2 linked regions of the Caenorhabditis elegans genome follow. The protein of the gene in region 1 interacts with the protein of each later gene in a pairwise test. Each region holds a gene or a part of one and is shown in the gene's direction. Other genes may lie near its edges.

The links. The genes of interacting proteins can lie anywhere in the genome.
Region 2: the proteins of sgt-1 (region 1) and srlf-35 interact in a two-hybrid assay, tested with the Caenorhabditis elegans proteins (2 studies listed by BioGRID).

The regions. Positions count from the first base shown.
Region 1 is NC_003280.10:4,902,140-4,909,665, reverse strand, and holds sgt-1 (SGTA homodimerization domain-containing protein), read left to right. Parts: upstream 1-5,869; 5' UTR 5,870-5,872; coding exon 5,873-6,029; intron 6,030-6,082; coding exon 6,083-6,771; intron 6,772-6,902; coding exon 6,903-7,070; 3' UTR 7,071-7,378; downstream 7,379-7,526. Other genes in the region: btbd-10 (BTB domain-containing protein), read right to left, coding at 1-149, 231-334, 724-858, 3,743-3,809, 4,280-4,398, 4,457-4,607.
Region 2 is NC_003283.11:500,020-506,660, forward strand, and holds srlf-35 (SXP/RAL-2 family protein Ani s 5-like cation-binding domain-containing protein), read left to right. Parts: upstream 1-4,008; 5' UTR 4,009-4,019; coding exon 4,020-4,208; intron 4,209-4,277; coding exon 4,278-4,553; 3' UTR 4,554-4,613; downstream 4,614-6,641. Other genes in the region: str-256 (Serpentine receptor class r-10), read right to left, coding at 1-217, 265-418, 474-608, 865-943, 995-1,082, 1,129-1,311; T01G6.10 (DeHydrogenases, Short chain), read right to left, coding at 2,123-2,320, 2,369-2,539, 2,588-2,776, 2,935-3,204; srlf-19 (SXP/RAL-2 family protein Ani s 5-like cation-binding domain-containing protein), read left to right, coding at 5,503-5,694, 5,738-5,986.

The DNA.
Region 1 (7,526 bases):
CGGGTTTGATCGACTAAAAGGCATACTTTGTCGCCTTCTCCCGGTGAACAGTCGACTGTGTTTCCTTGACGGCCACCCAATTGTGACATGAGCATTTCATGAGCAGGACCTCCAAGTGACATTGATCTTTGTCCACGATAATGACCGTCCTGAAAATTTAATTGCTTGGAATTGTAAAACGTTTATAATAATTGCGTATTGAAAAATAATTATATTTTAAATGACTATACCTTGGCAGAATGTTTCAGTGCTGGAGCAAGTGGAGGTGTTGTCAGAGATCTATCAGGATTTGATTCACCCGAAGAGGAGCAGCCTGCGTTACGTGCTGGGGATTCTGAAAATTGCAAAATTTCGTAATTTTTGCAACAAAAAAATTATAAAGCCGGGTCTCAACATGACTTTTAGGAAGTACTGTAGCCTTCAACTTGTTGTTTTTGCAAATTTTCAAAGTTTCGCTCCGATTTCACCGAAATTTAGTGACAATCTGAAGAAGAGAAAATTCCGCAAACAACGAGAAGTTGAGAACTACAGTACTACTTAAAGGCGCGTACACTTTTCCATTTGAGAAAATCTCTCGTGTCGAGACCAGGTACAGTATTTTTTAGCCAAAAATTTAAACTTTTCGAATCAAAAATTGGTTTTAGAACATTCTCAATTGCTTGAGTTTTTTTTAGCAGAGAAAAACTATTTACAAAAAAAAACTATTGGTCTAAAAAAACTTACCAGAAGGTGACGGACTCGTGTGTCCAGATGACGACGCGGATCCTCGTCCTCCCACAAGCGACGATTTACGAGCTGTCGAAGTGGAAGCTGATGGACCCGCTTGTGATGATGATGACGTGGCGGAGTAGGCAGGAACTGAAAAATTTGAATTTTGAAAAAAAAAAACACGGATTTTTAAAGTTTAGTTTATTCTGAATCTACCAACACAGTACTCAGAACTAACCCGAACAGGATAATGATGAATGAGGAAAAGTAGAAAATGAGCTCATTATAAAACGAGAAAACAGATGGAGCCAATAGAAGAGGAGATGTTATTTGTAGCTGTGGATAATGATTATATGGTGTTGGAAGAAGATGGAAGAAGTAAAGTGAGCGTCTAGCCTCTTTTCCTCCAAGCTAGGGGTGCGCAAAAAGGGGCGCAGCTGATACAGAGAAGCATCAGGGGAGAGTGCAGAGTTTGCAGAGGGTTCAGAGAAAAATGCGACGATATAATGATGACAATGGAGCGACGTATTGAAGAAAGATAATGTGGTGATGTGATAAAACTGGAGAGACGCCGAGAGAGATCATCAAGACGGACTGGATACGATGGGAGACGAAGACGAAGGAGGAGGGTCTAGACAAAAACGATGAACGGAAGGAAGCAAGGAATGGTGGTCGCTTCCTGTCCTACTTTAATCAAGTGCTTTTGCTCTTGAAAAAGTGTGTCTTTCTTTCACAGACTGTGTCAGCTGAGATTTTTCTGTCTTGAGCACGTGGGAATTTCATGGTGGTGACAATTTCTGTGTTGTATTACACAGATTCTAAAGCTTGGAAAGATCAAAATGGCAAACTTTGGAGTAGAATTTTCCTTTCAAGAAAAGTGCCTTTCATTTTGATTTTTTTTTAATATTTACAATGAATCATCACATTCTGTGTGTTTTTGTATGTTTTCAATTCATGCGTGTGCATGTGCCATCATCAATACTTTTTGTCGTTCGCTTTGGAGCTAGAATAGTGATAGAGCGGAGTAAAGTGTGACAAGGTAAGCAAATAGAACACTCTCTTTCTCACAAACACCTACAAAATTTGGTTTTTTTCAATTTTTAACTGAACAAGATAGATGATGTATACTATTTATGTGATCTTAGATTATATCGACCTTAAAAATTGCACTTTTAGGTTATTGATGAGAAATTTCTTACTTTTCAAACAGAAAATTGGATGAATCAGAGATTATATCAACAATTAGCTTTTTGGGTGTTGATCAGACAGCAGTGTAAAAAATCTTTAGCAAAAGTTAAATTCGAAGAAAAAAAAGCGACAAGATCCGATTCTCTACCAATCGAGACGAGAAATGAAAAGGTCACAGTGATGATGACATGACTTTACACCGAAAAACAGATGAGACAACCTCAACGGGGTAAACGACTACAGAGAAAAGATTGAAGATGAAGATGAAATGGGTCAGTTAATTTCTGTTTTCAAAAAAAAACAACACAAATAAATTGAACGGCGCTCTTACAATATACGCTGAGGGGGAACACAAAACAAAAAAATAAATGGTGGAAAATCGCCTCCAAACCCAGTGCAACGAGGGAGAAAGATTGGAAGAAAAAACATAGAAGAGGCAAAAAGAATGCGAAATAGCAGAAGAAGATTAGCCGGAGACGGACGGACGGACGGGTGGACGAATGGACAGCCGAACTGATGAGAAGAGGAAACTCAAACAATGTGGGTGAAGGAGATGGAAGAATGAGGAGATGGAGGCATTATTTTTGGTAGAGTTCTAGCTATAAAAGTGGGCAAGGTCATACATTTTAAAGTATCTGTGATGAAGTTGCAAACGGCTGCAAGTCAAGGGAGAATCCTTATGACAAAGATGAACTTTTTCTCACTTGAAAAGTAGAATTACAAAAATGATTTAGGGTTTCCACTTGAATTTTCTCCAAAATGAGAAACCACGCCAGCTAATTTTTTTTTGGCATTTTAAAGCAAAAACTACGGTATGGGACTATAAACAAAATTCTAATTACACTTTTTCAAAATTATGAAGTGCCAAGTCGTTTGGGGATGCGAAAACCCCAGAGAAGATGGTCCACAGAGTCCATCAAAACATTCACAACTTTTCCACATGACTCTTGAAACTTTTTATTTTGAAATCCGAACCCTTGAGGTGTCATCATGACGTAAATAATAATTCGGCGATGGATGGAGATATGAAAAAATGAAGAAAGTTAAGAAAACGGAGAGAGGGACAGTTGGCAACATTCGACCACCTGTTCACTTTTCTAAATTGTTTTCATTTTCTTCTTGGTCTTCGCTTTTTCCTCTTTGCACTTTTTGCCCAATAGAAAAGGATCTAGATAACTCAACTTTCAGTTCACAAACGAAAGAAAAACAAAATCGAGAATTCAGAATTATTATTCATCTTTTTATGAATCTATGATTATTTGTCAGATGGTCAAATGTCATTCAACGCCAATAAAAAGCATTTTTACAGGACAAAGACTCGTTGTATGTAATACAAAAGTCATTTAAAATTGAAATAAAATAGATAACATCAATGTTAAAAGTCTTCACATTTTCAGAAAACTAATCTCGTGTTTAAATTTTCAAATCCAACTAAATCCCAATCAGACTAAAAGGATGTTTTTGAGCTTTGACTCACCATTATCCGAAAATGTTACTTTCATCTCGTGGGGAAAAGTAGAAAAGAAATTATTAATAATTTGCACAGATATCCAAATTTAGAAACGAATTATAGCCTTGAGCAGGTGCAGAATTGCTTTTTTGGTTATTTTCTAAAACTCTAAGCCGATTTGTAATGATCGGATGTTTGGAGATTGAAAAATCTGGAGTCAATAAGCAAATATGTGTTTGTTTAAACATTAAAAACATATGTGAAGAAAAAAAGAGCGTTTTTCTTCTGCCAAAAGGTGAACGAGCCGGAAATAGTGATTTTCTTCCAATTTCGTAGAGCAATTTACGTCACAATGACGAGGGACACACAAAAACAAGAAAAGAAACGGAAATTTACCTTTTTTGAGTCCGGCAGGCGGTTGAGAGTGTGGAGTCGCAGGTTTAGCTCCAAATGACCAAGAAACCTGGAAAAATGAGATTTAGAGGCTATTTTTAGAATTATTGCGGTGAAAAGCGGAAATTTTTAATTTTAGTTTGCAATTTTTCCTCAAAAATACATTTCTGTGAAATACGAACAAGTGTGCGCTTTAAAGTTAATTTATTTCATAGTTTTTTTGCGAAAAAATGTTTCTTATACCAAAAATAACAATATAAACACATAAATATTAACGAATCGTGAGAAAAAGTAGAAAAAATTGATAAAAAATTCTGCAGGAGCGAGAGATTGAAAATACTGTACTTTTTAAAGGCGCACACTTGTTTGTTATCTACGAAACACTGTCGTGTCGATACCGAGAACCGCATTTACGGGTGTGCGCCTTTAAAAATTACTGTAACTTAAAACTTTTGTGGTATTTTTATCGACTTTTCATGGTTTTTATGTCTTCATATCGTTTTTTTTTGATAATTTTTATTAAAAAAACAAATATATTACCTGCTGTGGTGCACGAACAGTTCTTGTTGATGACGTGCTGGCATGATCTTTGCGAGATCTCTCGCTCTTCAGACATCCACGACTTGAAGAGGAACCGTCAGTTTCAGCCCCGGTTTTGTCTGAAAAAAATAAATTATTGATTTTTATTCAATCTGAATGAAAAATTCGAATTCTTACCATCATTATCCAGTGAAACATCAGATTCGTCAGAAGTGTTATCGAAGAGTCGTCGCGCAGGAGCATCTGGCACATTAACGCCATTATTTGCTGGGTTTCCAAAATTTGAAGATGATGGAATGTCTTTGTTCTGTTCTTCCGATTGAGACATGTTGTAGAATGGTGGAAGACGAAGAAGATGATAAGAGTGACAGTTTAATTACTGAAAATGTGCGAAATTTTATATAGTTTTATTTATTTAGGAAACAGATAGTGAAAGTTTGGGAGGAGTTGAACAGTATAAAATAAGAATGACAGGCAGAATGGCTGGGTAAATATTATTCAAATACAAGTATTTTCAAAATTCCGCAAATTTGAACAAGTTTTCATTTAAAAAACACATTTCGAACGGAAAATTTGGGTAAAAGAAAGCTTGGAACATAGTGAAAAAGGACTTTGCGAACAAATAAATTAAAATTTGCTTGATTTCAATTTGTTTTTTTCATTTTTTACAGAAACAACAAATTTCACAGCAGCGTTCTCCTGACTATCACACTTTTTTTTTGAAACAAAAACGAATAAAACAAGCTTGAAATAAAACTTTTGGTACCCAGACGTCTCTGGCCCCAAAAAATTTAAGTTGACGGGTGTCGACAGAGGGAAATGAGTGGCTTTTGGAAGGAGACCTGGGGCCACCAGTCAGCTTCTCGCTTCTTTTTTTTTCTCTAGCACTCTCTCAACTTTACAATACACTCTACGCGCTGCTGCAACTTTTCTGTCAAGTTGTCTGCCGTCTCTTCAGTTGAACTTGGTTTACTTTCGTGGCGAGACACATCAAAGTGACGGCCGACATGTGCCTTTGAGGCTGATGAAATTATTCCCGCAATTTCCAGAAATTTTTGCACTGATTCTGAAATAAAATGACGTTGCAATCTTTAATTTTACTCTTCGTTGTTCAAAAACTTTTCAATTTTATTCTCGTTACAATATTTCACTCTTCATTGACCAAATTTCGCAAATAGAGCGCTTAAATTCAGATTTTAAGTTAAGCATTTAAAATTAATACTCTTTTTTTTTAATAATAATAATAATTTATTACGCTCGCTGGGAGACGTGAAGGAATATAGAATACAAAAGTTATCATTGTTCGCTCGAACTAGAATTGGTGCAGTCGGGCAATCGTTTCCATTCCATTAGAATGTTGTCCTTGTCCTTGCGTTGTCCTTGCGTAGACTCCCCCATAGTGGGCGAGCGATTCCCGAGTGAAAATAATCACGGAATGCCATTTTTAAGCGATGCCATTTTCTATTTCTTGAACTATATATTTTTAAGAATATTTTAATCTGCGCTTTATCATGGATTTTCAATTCAACTTTATATTACTTTTCTAACTTCAATATAAAATTATTTAATAAATATATTTTTATTTTTAAGAAAATGTCCGAGGAGATCAAGCCTTCTGCTCCAGATGCGCCGACTGCTTCGCCAATTGTGACCAGAGACGAGCAAAATTTGGTTGTCTCATTCCTTCAGTTTATCCGCCAGAAGGTTTCACAAAATCAGGCCACTGCCGAGCAAGCGGAAGCTCTTGAAGGTTTTTTCCTATTTATTTCTATAAATTTAGCTTAAGATATATTAAAATTTCAGTTGCAATTCAATGTCTCGAACACTCGTTTGGTCTTGATGATGCCTCATACGCTTTCCAACCATCACGCCCAATTCTCGAACTTTTCAAGAGCGCCGAAGGACTTCCAGAGGGAGAATCTGCTCTTCCAACACCGAGCGATAGTGATATTTCTCAAGCTAACAAGCTTAAAGAAGAAGGAAACGATTTAATGAAAGCCTCCCAATTTGAAGCTGCTGTTCAAAAGTACAATGCCGCCATCAAGCTCAACAGAGATCCAGTCTACTTCTGTAACCGCGCTGCTGCTTATTGCCGCCTGGAACAATATGATTTGGCCATCCAAGATTGTCGTACAGCTCTTGCCCTTGATCCATCTTACTCAAAAGCTTGGGGAAGAATGGGTCTTGCATATTCTTGCCAAAACAGATATGAGCATGCCGCTGAGGCATACAAGAAGGCTTTGGAGCTTGAACCAAATCAAGAGAGTTACAAGAATAATTTGAAAATTGCTGAAGACAAATTGAAGGAGCTGGAAAGCTCGCGACCGGCACCAGGTGCCAATCCATTGGCTGGGCTTTTGGGAGCCATGGGAGGAGGACCGGGAGGAATGCCGGCTATGCCAGGAATGCCAAACATGCAAAACCTTATGAACGAGCCAGGACTTATGCAAGCTGCTTCACAGATGATGAGCGATCCAGCACTTTCTGATATGGTAAGTATCAAATTTTCGGGAATAAAAGATTTAATTGAAATGGCAATGCACGTGGCCGTCAAAATTAATTGTTTTTCATTATTATTGCTTGTTTTTTGATGATGTATGCTCTAAAATATTGAATTTTTCAGTTCAACAACATGATGTCTGGAAATGGATCAATCGCTGATTTGATGGCTGCTGGCCAGCAAATGGCTGCTCGCATGCAAGAGACCAATCCAGAACTTATTGAAAATCTTCGACGCCAATTCGGCCCCGGAGCCGATGGAGGAGCACCACCACCAAACCCACCACAATAGATAATCTCTTCCGCCAATCTCCTTCCGCATCACGAATTTCCATTTCGTTATCTCTCTCTCTCTCTCTTTCCCCTTCTCTCGTCTTTACTTTCTGCTCTCATGTGATTTGAAAAAGCCGAAGTCGCTTATGGTTACTCGTTTTTTTTAGTTTCTCTCGCAGAATTTCCCCTTACAATGATGATGTTATAATCGCCCCCGATTCAAGCCTTATCGAAATATTGTTTTTAATTAGATGGTCATGTTTTAACTACCAACAAAAAATTGGGTCAATTTTCTTTTTTTTCACGAATAATAAATATTGTCGAAATATTCTTTCCATCACAGACACACTGGTTGCAAACGCGCTCCAACACGAAATTATCGATTTGCACCCAAACGAAAGATAGCGCGGGAGTACTCACATTTTCTTTATTTTTGATTTTTTTGTTGAAATATTTTAGTATTAAATTAAACAAT
Region 2 (6,641 bases), on another chromosome or scaffold:
TAATTTCTTTAGAATTGCCCAAAAATATGGTAACGTAAATTGCAGTTGCTGGAAGATGCATGAGAAAGACTGGAATCGCTGTTTGAAAAAGGAGGGCAATGAACAGCTGCTTCTGGATAGTTTTGAATTTGTAGGAGACTCCTGCTGTAGCAATTAGTTTGCTCATCATTCGATATCCTTTCACACCAAAATATAGCATTATCGAGCTAGATATAGTCTGAAATTTTTACTTGAAAAATACTACTTTTTTATGGTCAAACTGACAATGACTCCCATAGCAATTATACAAGCTTTTGCAGCTTTCCAGCTGAAATATTGCTCAGTTGTAGAGTTGTCATGTTTCGGCCAAAAAAGTGGGCCCACATAATAAAGATCTTCCAATGATGTAGTGTTTTCCGAAATTTCTTGATAATTTTCACTGAAAAATTATTTTTTGAAAATTATTGTTAGCTAGTAGTTTTCACAGTACTCACTTCAAAAACCTATCGGTCTGTGGGTCGGCGCTCATTAGAATACCGCCCGTGCACATGAAGGCGAGCCCATTTAAAGCAGGAATCATAAACCAGAGCACAATTTTCCAGGAGTCAAAGGATTTGAGATGAGGATTGCTGAAACTTGGTAATAACACAAAAAAATCCATGCAGGCGCCAAAATGCATACCGCGCCTGCCTTGCGGCGACCTCCGCATGCCTCGCGCCGCAAGCCGATCTCACTGTATAGTGCGGCGCGGAACCTGAAAAGTGTCGGTCACGGCGAAAGAACCACATTTCGCGTCAGGTCCTGAAACCGCGCCTGCCTCTTATGAATTTAATGGTACAAATACAACTTCAAAGTATCATTATAGTTAGCTTAGCTTCAACTTACTTTGTAATGCTGAAAAATCGATAAATGAAGTGAAGTGCAAGAATCGCGATGGAAAATCCGAAGCAACCAACAAATAGTACTGCAAAATAGCACACACATTGTAAGTTGTGCTTCTCTCTTGAAAACTTACAGTCTAGAACGCAAACTACAAACTTTGGAAACAACGATTCTTTCCAATTGACAATCAAGAAAAATGCCGATTCTTTTGTCAGAAGTTTCTGGCATTTCCAAATTTTTCAAGGCTGCTATTTGCGATTAACTTACCGGTTTTTCCAAAAAATACAAAAAAGCATAAGCCAGCTCGAAAAGATCAATATAAATCATGAGATACTTGTATGATCCTAAGGATTGCGGAGATTTTTTGAGAATGAGGCATATGAGTAGAAAGATGATAGCAATTGCGAAAACGGCCGATGAATTCAGAAAAACAATGTCGTCGATTTTCATATTCCAATCTGAAATGTAAATGAAATTGAAAATGTAATAATACATGAAATTATTTGAAATTCCGTGAAAACGCCCAGTCGAGTACAAAATTTAGATCAAAAATTCACTTCCCACTTACTAGGAAATTGTAGGCAAAAACACTATAACGTCATAATATTCCTCAAAAATGTACAATGTGGATAGTGAATCACGTATCAGTTGGTTCAAATAACAGTGTTGTAGTTCCGGTTTGAAATGTGCCAGATTTCTGGAAAATAACTGATAATAACAGAAAATAACTGTTTTTTTAAAGAAAAGTTAATTTTTTGGAATAAATTTTCATTGACAGCTAAAACTGCAATTTCAGTCACATTTGGAACGGTTGGAACTGTAGTTGAAGGGATATTGCGTTGGGAGTTGGTGATGGATAATGCCAAAGTACTGTAGTAGTACTGTAGGGGTACTGTAGGGTTACTGCAGGGTTACTGTAGTTTAGGAAAATTTGATTTTTCAGCTTTTGAAGGGATATTGCGTTGGGAGTTGGTAATGGATAATGTCAAGGTACTGTAGTAGTACTGTAGGGTTAATGTACTTTGTTTAAGGTTGTGGTGTGATGGTTTTCAAAATTTAATCTTTCAGCATATACGAAAAAACTTAAGCTGTTTTAGAGTAGAGTTCATGTGTTGTTTGTTTGGACAGAAATAGGTAAAGTGATAAAGTTGTATTTATATAAGAAACAAATCCTGTAAATCATGTATTCGTCACGGGTGTTGAAAATTCAAAAAAATATTCATTTATTAAATTGCAAATAGACATCAATATAATTGAAAAATCAATTGTTTCGCTGAATGTTTTGAGCGGTGAGCCCTGAAACCAAAGAAGTTCCTCCATCGGCCACAATCGACTGTCCTATTATGTAAGAAGATCTCTTGCGATCCGCCAAAAAAATAATAAGCTCGGCGATGTCCTCAGGCTTTCCGCAAACTCCTGCAGGAATGCAGGCTCTGTTAGAAGTGAAGTTCTCTTCGATCTAAAATTTCTATCAAATTTACAGCAATCATGGAACAATTTCGTTTACCTGTTTCTGGACCTGCTCCGACATTCCCATTGCCCCCAGAAACCCGGACGTGACGACACCCGGGCTCACTGAATTAACACGAACCCCTTGCAAGATGAGATCAAGTGCCACGCAACGTGTGTATTGGTCTAGGGCGGCTTTGGAGGCTGCGTAATAGGGGGATGGAGCAAGCTGAAAATATCCGGTTTTAGTTTGGTAGAAATTTATGGAGCAACAAACCGCCTGTGGTCCTGCAGCTACACTGGAGACATTCACAATTTCACCTTTCGATTCGATCAGGTGATTTTTGGTTTTTTTCACCATCTCGATGACGGCTTCAAAATTGATTTGAAATGTTTTATGGTACAGCTCGGTAGATTGATCAGTGTTAAAGGTACCGTCGACCACATTGGCACCGGCGTTGTTCACCTGGAAGGTGAGAAAAAGTGTTTAAAAAAACTGCGGTCAGAGATGCGCAGTACATTTTTTAAGCACATGTACAAAATCGAGCAAAAATGACTACATAATATTTGACGCGCAACATTGGATCTCTAATGATTTAAACAGATAAGCATACCTTCACTTACCAGTACATCAATCCTCCCAAAAGCATCGAGCGCCGATTGCACAATCTCGTCTTGCCCATCAGAATCCGTCAAGTTCGCCACGACAACACACACATTCTCCGGATTCTTCATGACCTTCAGCATCTTTTTCTTGGTAGCCTCGAGTTTTCCAGCATCTCTACCAGTGATTGTTACCTGGGCTCCATATTTCGCAAAGAGCACCGCAGTGGCTCGACCAATTCCACTTGAAGATCCTGTCACGATGACAGACTTTCCAGAGAAGCGGTTCATAGAGAAAAGGTAAAGAATAAGTATGAAAGTGATATTTTTGAGCTGCTCTCCAACATCTTTTATAGTTTTGGAAAATGTGTCGGAGGGGGACAGCGTCTGTGACTAGAAGGTATAAAGCTGAATGTGTAAGCACATGCGTTGGACGTCTGTGTCTCTTTTTGTGCTTATCTCTCAGTGTGTCAAAAAATCTATGACCAAAAGGGTTCAGGTTACTCATAATTACTTAAAAATATATCAAACTTATATAAAATATAAAAATAGTGCAAGTTTTTAAAATTTTCCGCGAAAACTAGAAAACTTATTTTATTGTGAAAAAATTTGGGCGAATGTTCAAAGTTTCAGGGGTAAAAATTCCTGGGAATTAAAAAAAAGACGGGAAATTCGCATTTTCATTGCAGTTTTTTTTAAAGGGAAATTAAAATTTTCAGTCCATTTCTTTGGCGGGAATTCAAATCTTCATGTTCTGAGAAAAGTATTGGTGCAAAATTCACATTTTCTAAGAATAAAATATAAAAAATTGTTTTTTAAACTTTTTTTTTCGAATCTCGACATCTAGATAACTTTGAACAATTTCGGATAAATTTCTGAAAACTTCTAGATGTTTTTTAAAAAGTTCCCCTACTTTTGATCTTTCTTCAAAAAATGATTTTTTTTCAGTGACTCATAAACGTAGACTACCTAACTGCCTAACAACTCTTTTCAAAAGACTACAAGAGCAAACACAAAAGTTCACCAGTGGCACAAACAGATACTATGCCAATACTATGGGCACCTAGTATATAAATTGAGGAGACACTTTACCAAATCACTCCAAAATGAAGTCTTACCTTTCAATTATTGCTCTGTTCGCTGTAGTTTTTGCCGATTTCGACGGACCAATGTTCTTGAGATATCAGCCGAGAAATATTCAACAGTCTTATTTTGCAATTGCTAAGAACTATCAGCTAAGTCAGATGCAGAAGAACCAGCAGCTTCAGCAATGGGCTCAGATGAATAATCTTTCGGTGAGTTCTCTGAAATTTTGAATTTTTTAAATTTGAAAATAAAAATCTGAAATCACAATAATTTTCCAGAACGAATACTCCAGCTACACACAACAACGGAGCCAACAAGAGCAACAAGTCAGCCAGCAGACTTCTCAAATAATTTCCCAGTTATCAACAGTTCAAAACCAGCTTGAATCCATTCTGAACAACGATAATCAAACGGGAGCTCAGAAGCGACAGGCTATCCAGTCTCTTAGATACCAGTACCCTCAAGAAGTTTCAGTTTTGTTCCACATTCGGGAAGTTTCCATGAAAAGAATGGGAATCGATGATGACCATGATGACAGTTATGAATCATTTTAAGTTTTTGAAGTTTTTTTTTTCTAATGAATGGTTTTAACTTTAGAGGACACATAAATGGAATTAAAAGCGGTATTGTTTTTGTTGAAAAAATTTTAAAAACAGCCTCAGGATATTTCATGAAAGATGTAATGTGTCAAAAAAAAGTGAAATATCGGACCGCTTCCTAGGTTCCTATAATTGTTAAAATATCCAAAAATTATTGTAAAAATTTTCAGAAATTAAAAAAAATTAAATTATAGTCAAAAAAAAAGGTAAAAACTCAGTCTTCAAGTATTATAATTTTACAATTCATTTTTGAAAATCTTGGGAAAATTCCAAAAATTTTCGACATTCAGAAAATTGTTTGAACTTTTTTGAAAACTTTTTCACCAAAATAAACATCATTCTAAAGTCATCTAAATGTTTTTAATATTTTCTCAAATATTTGTGAAGTTATGTAGATTTTTTCCTTTAGTTTTTCCATTTTTCCATTAACAATTTGTTAAAAAACTGTGAAAAAATATCAATTAATTTTTTTTCTGAAAATTTTCAAAACTAGAAACTGAATTTTGTAAGACCTTCTTGAATTTTATAAAGTAACATTAAACAATTATATGTCAATCTTTGAGTAAATCTGCAAGATGTCGGCTGCGAGCCTTATCAAAATCCAACCTATAATGTGTCGGCCGCTCATAATTCTATGTTCCTGATTACTATGGTTTCTGCTCAGTGTTTCGCTGAGTTTTCTGAACTTTTAGCCAATTTCTCTATTTGTTGCAGCTCCCAAAACACGTTGTTTACCGCAAAGTCTAGCCAGAGTTCAATGTTTTGAGTGCATTCTCTTGATTCTTCAGTAGCCTTTTAAGCTAGCAAATATGTCGTGTGTAACACGATTTTCATACGTCACGGAATACATGGTATTTAAGGACAATGTTTTTGAATCAAAAATTATCAAAGCTTATTTGAAGACATGGCCTCCTATTTTATCCTCGCTGTTCTGATTGCTGTGACTGCTGCTGCTAGTTACAACAAACCAAATTTCGTGAAGGATTTGCCAGATAACATGCAAAAGTCCTATGCTACAATTGTACGCAATTCCCAGCTGACAAAACTTCAAAAGGATGAGCAGCTTCAACAGTGGGCTCAGACCAATAATCTTTCGGTATGTTTAGATTGCTGAAGAAATTTCAAACTTTTAATTTTAGGATCAGTACACTGCATATACCAAGAAACAACAGGATAATGAGAATTTCATGAGCAAAAACACAACACAAATCATCTCCCAACTATCTTCAGTTCAAGCTCAACTTGAAGCGATTTTGAGCAACAAAAATCTCACTCGCGATCAGGAGGAAGAAGCCATCGACTCACTTGAGGAGCAATACTGGCAAGAGGTTCCAGTTCTGCTTTTCATCAGAAAAATGTGGAAGAAAGCTATGGGAATGAAGGTTTAGAGGCTTAGAAGCTAAGCACCTAAAATTTTAATTTATTTGCGATTAATAAATTTTTATACGACTTCAGATGTCCCGTAAATTTACACAAGACTCTATAAATCTACACAAGGTTTTGTAAGTCTACAGCAAATACTGTTAATCTAAGTGTAAAAAATTCAAAAAATCAGCTTCATTTGAGCCAGCGTTGCTTCAGTTTTTCTTAATTTTTTTTAAATAAGTGTTCTGGCTGAAAAACGAATAAATTTGCAGACAAAAAAGCGTAAATTCAAAAACCATCTACGTACAGTTTTTGGAGAAAAAACTTCGATTTTATTGAAAGAATAGGTTACAACTTTTGTCGCTAGTTTCATTATAATTTTTTATTTGTTTGATCTTGTGATCTAAACCTACACAAAACTACATGTAAATAAATTTTAAAATTTACCAAAACTAATCCACCGAATTGTCAGATTAATAGTAACGAGGGAGTGCGAATTTTGTATAAAAAGTGTCCATGCAACTGCAACTGAATATACTCATCATGATCGGAACACATTATTTGTTGTTTTTGATTTGTACTTCATATTTTAGTATTACTCTAACTTTGGCCTCTCATCTACCTCCGAAGCTGGGCAACGAGGTTTACAATTTGCTCACCTTTTCATATGATGCTGAT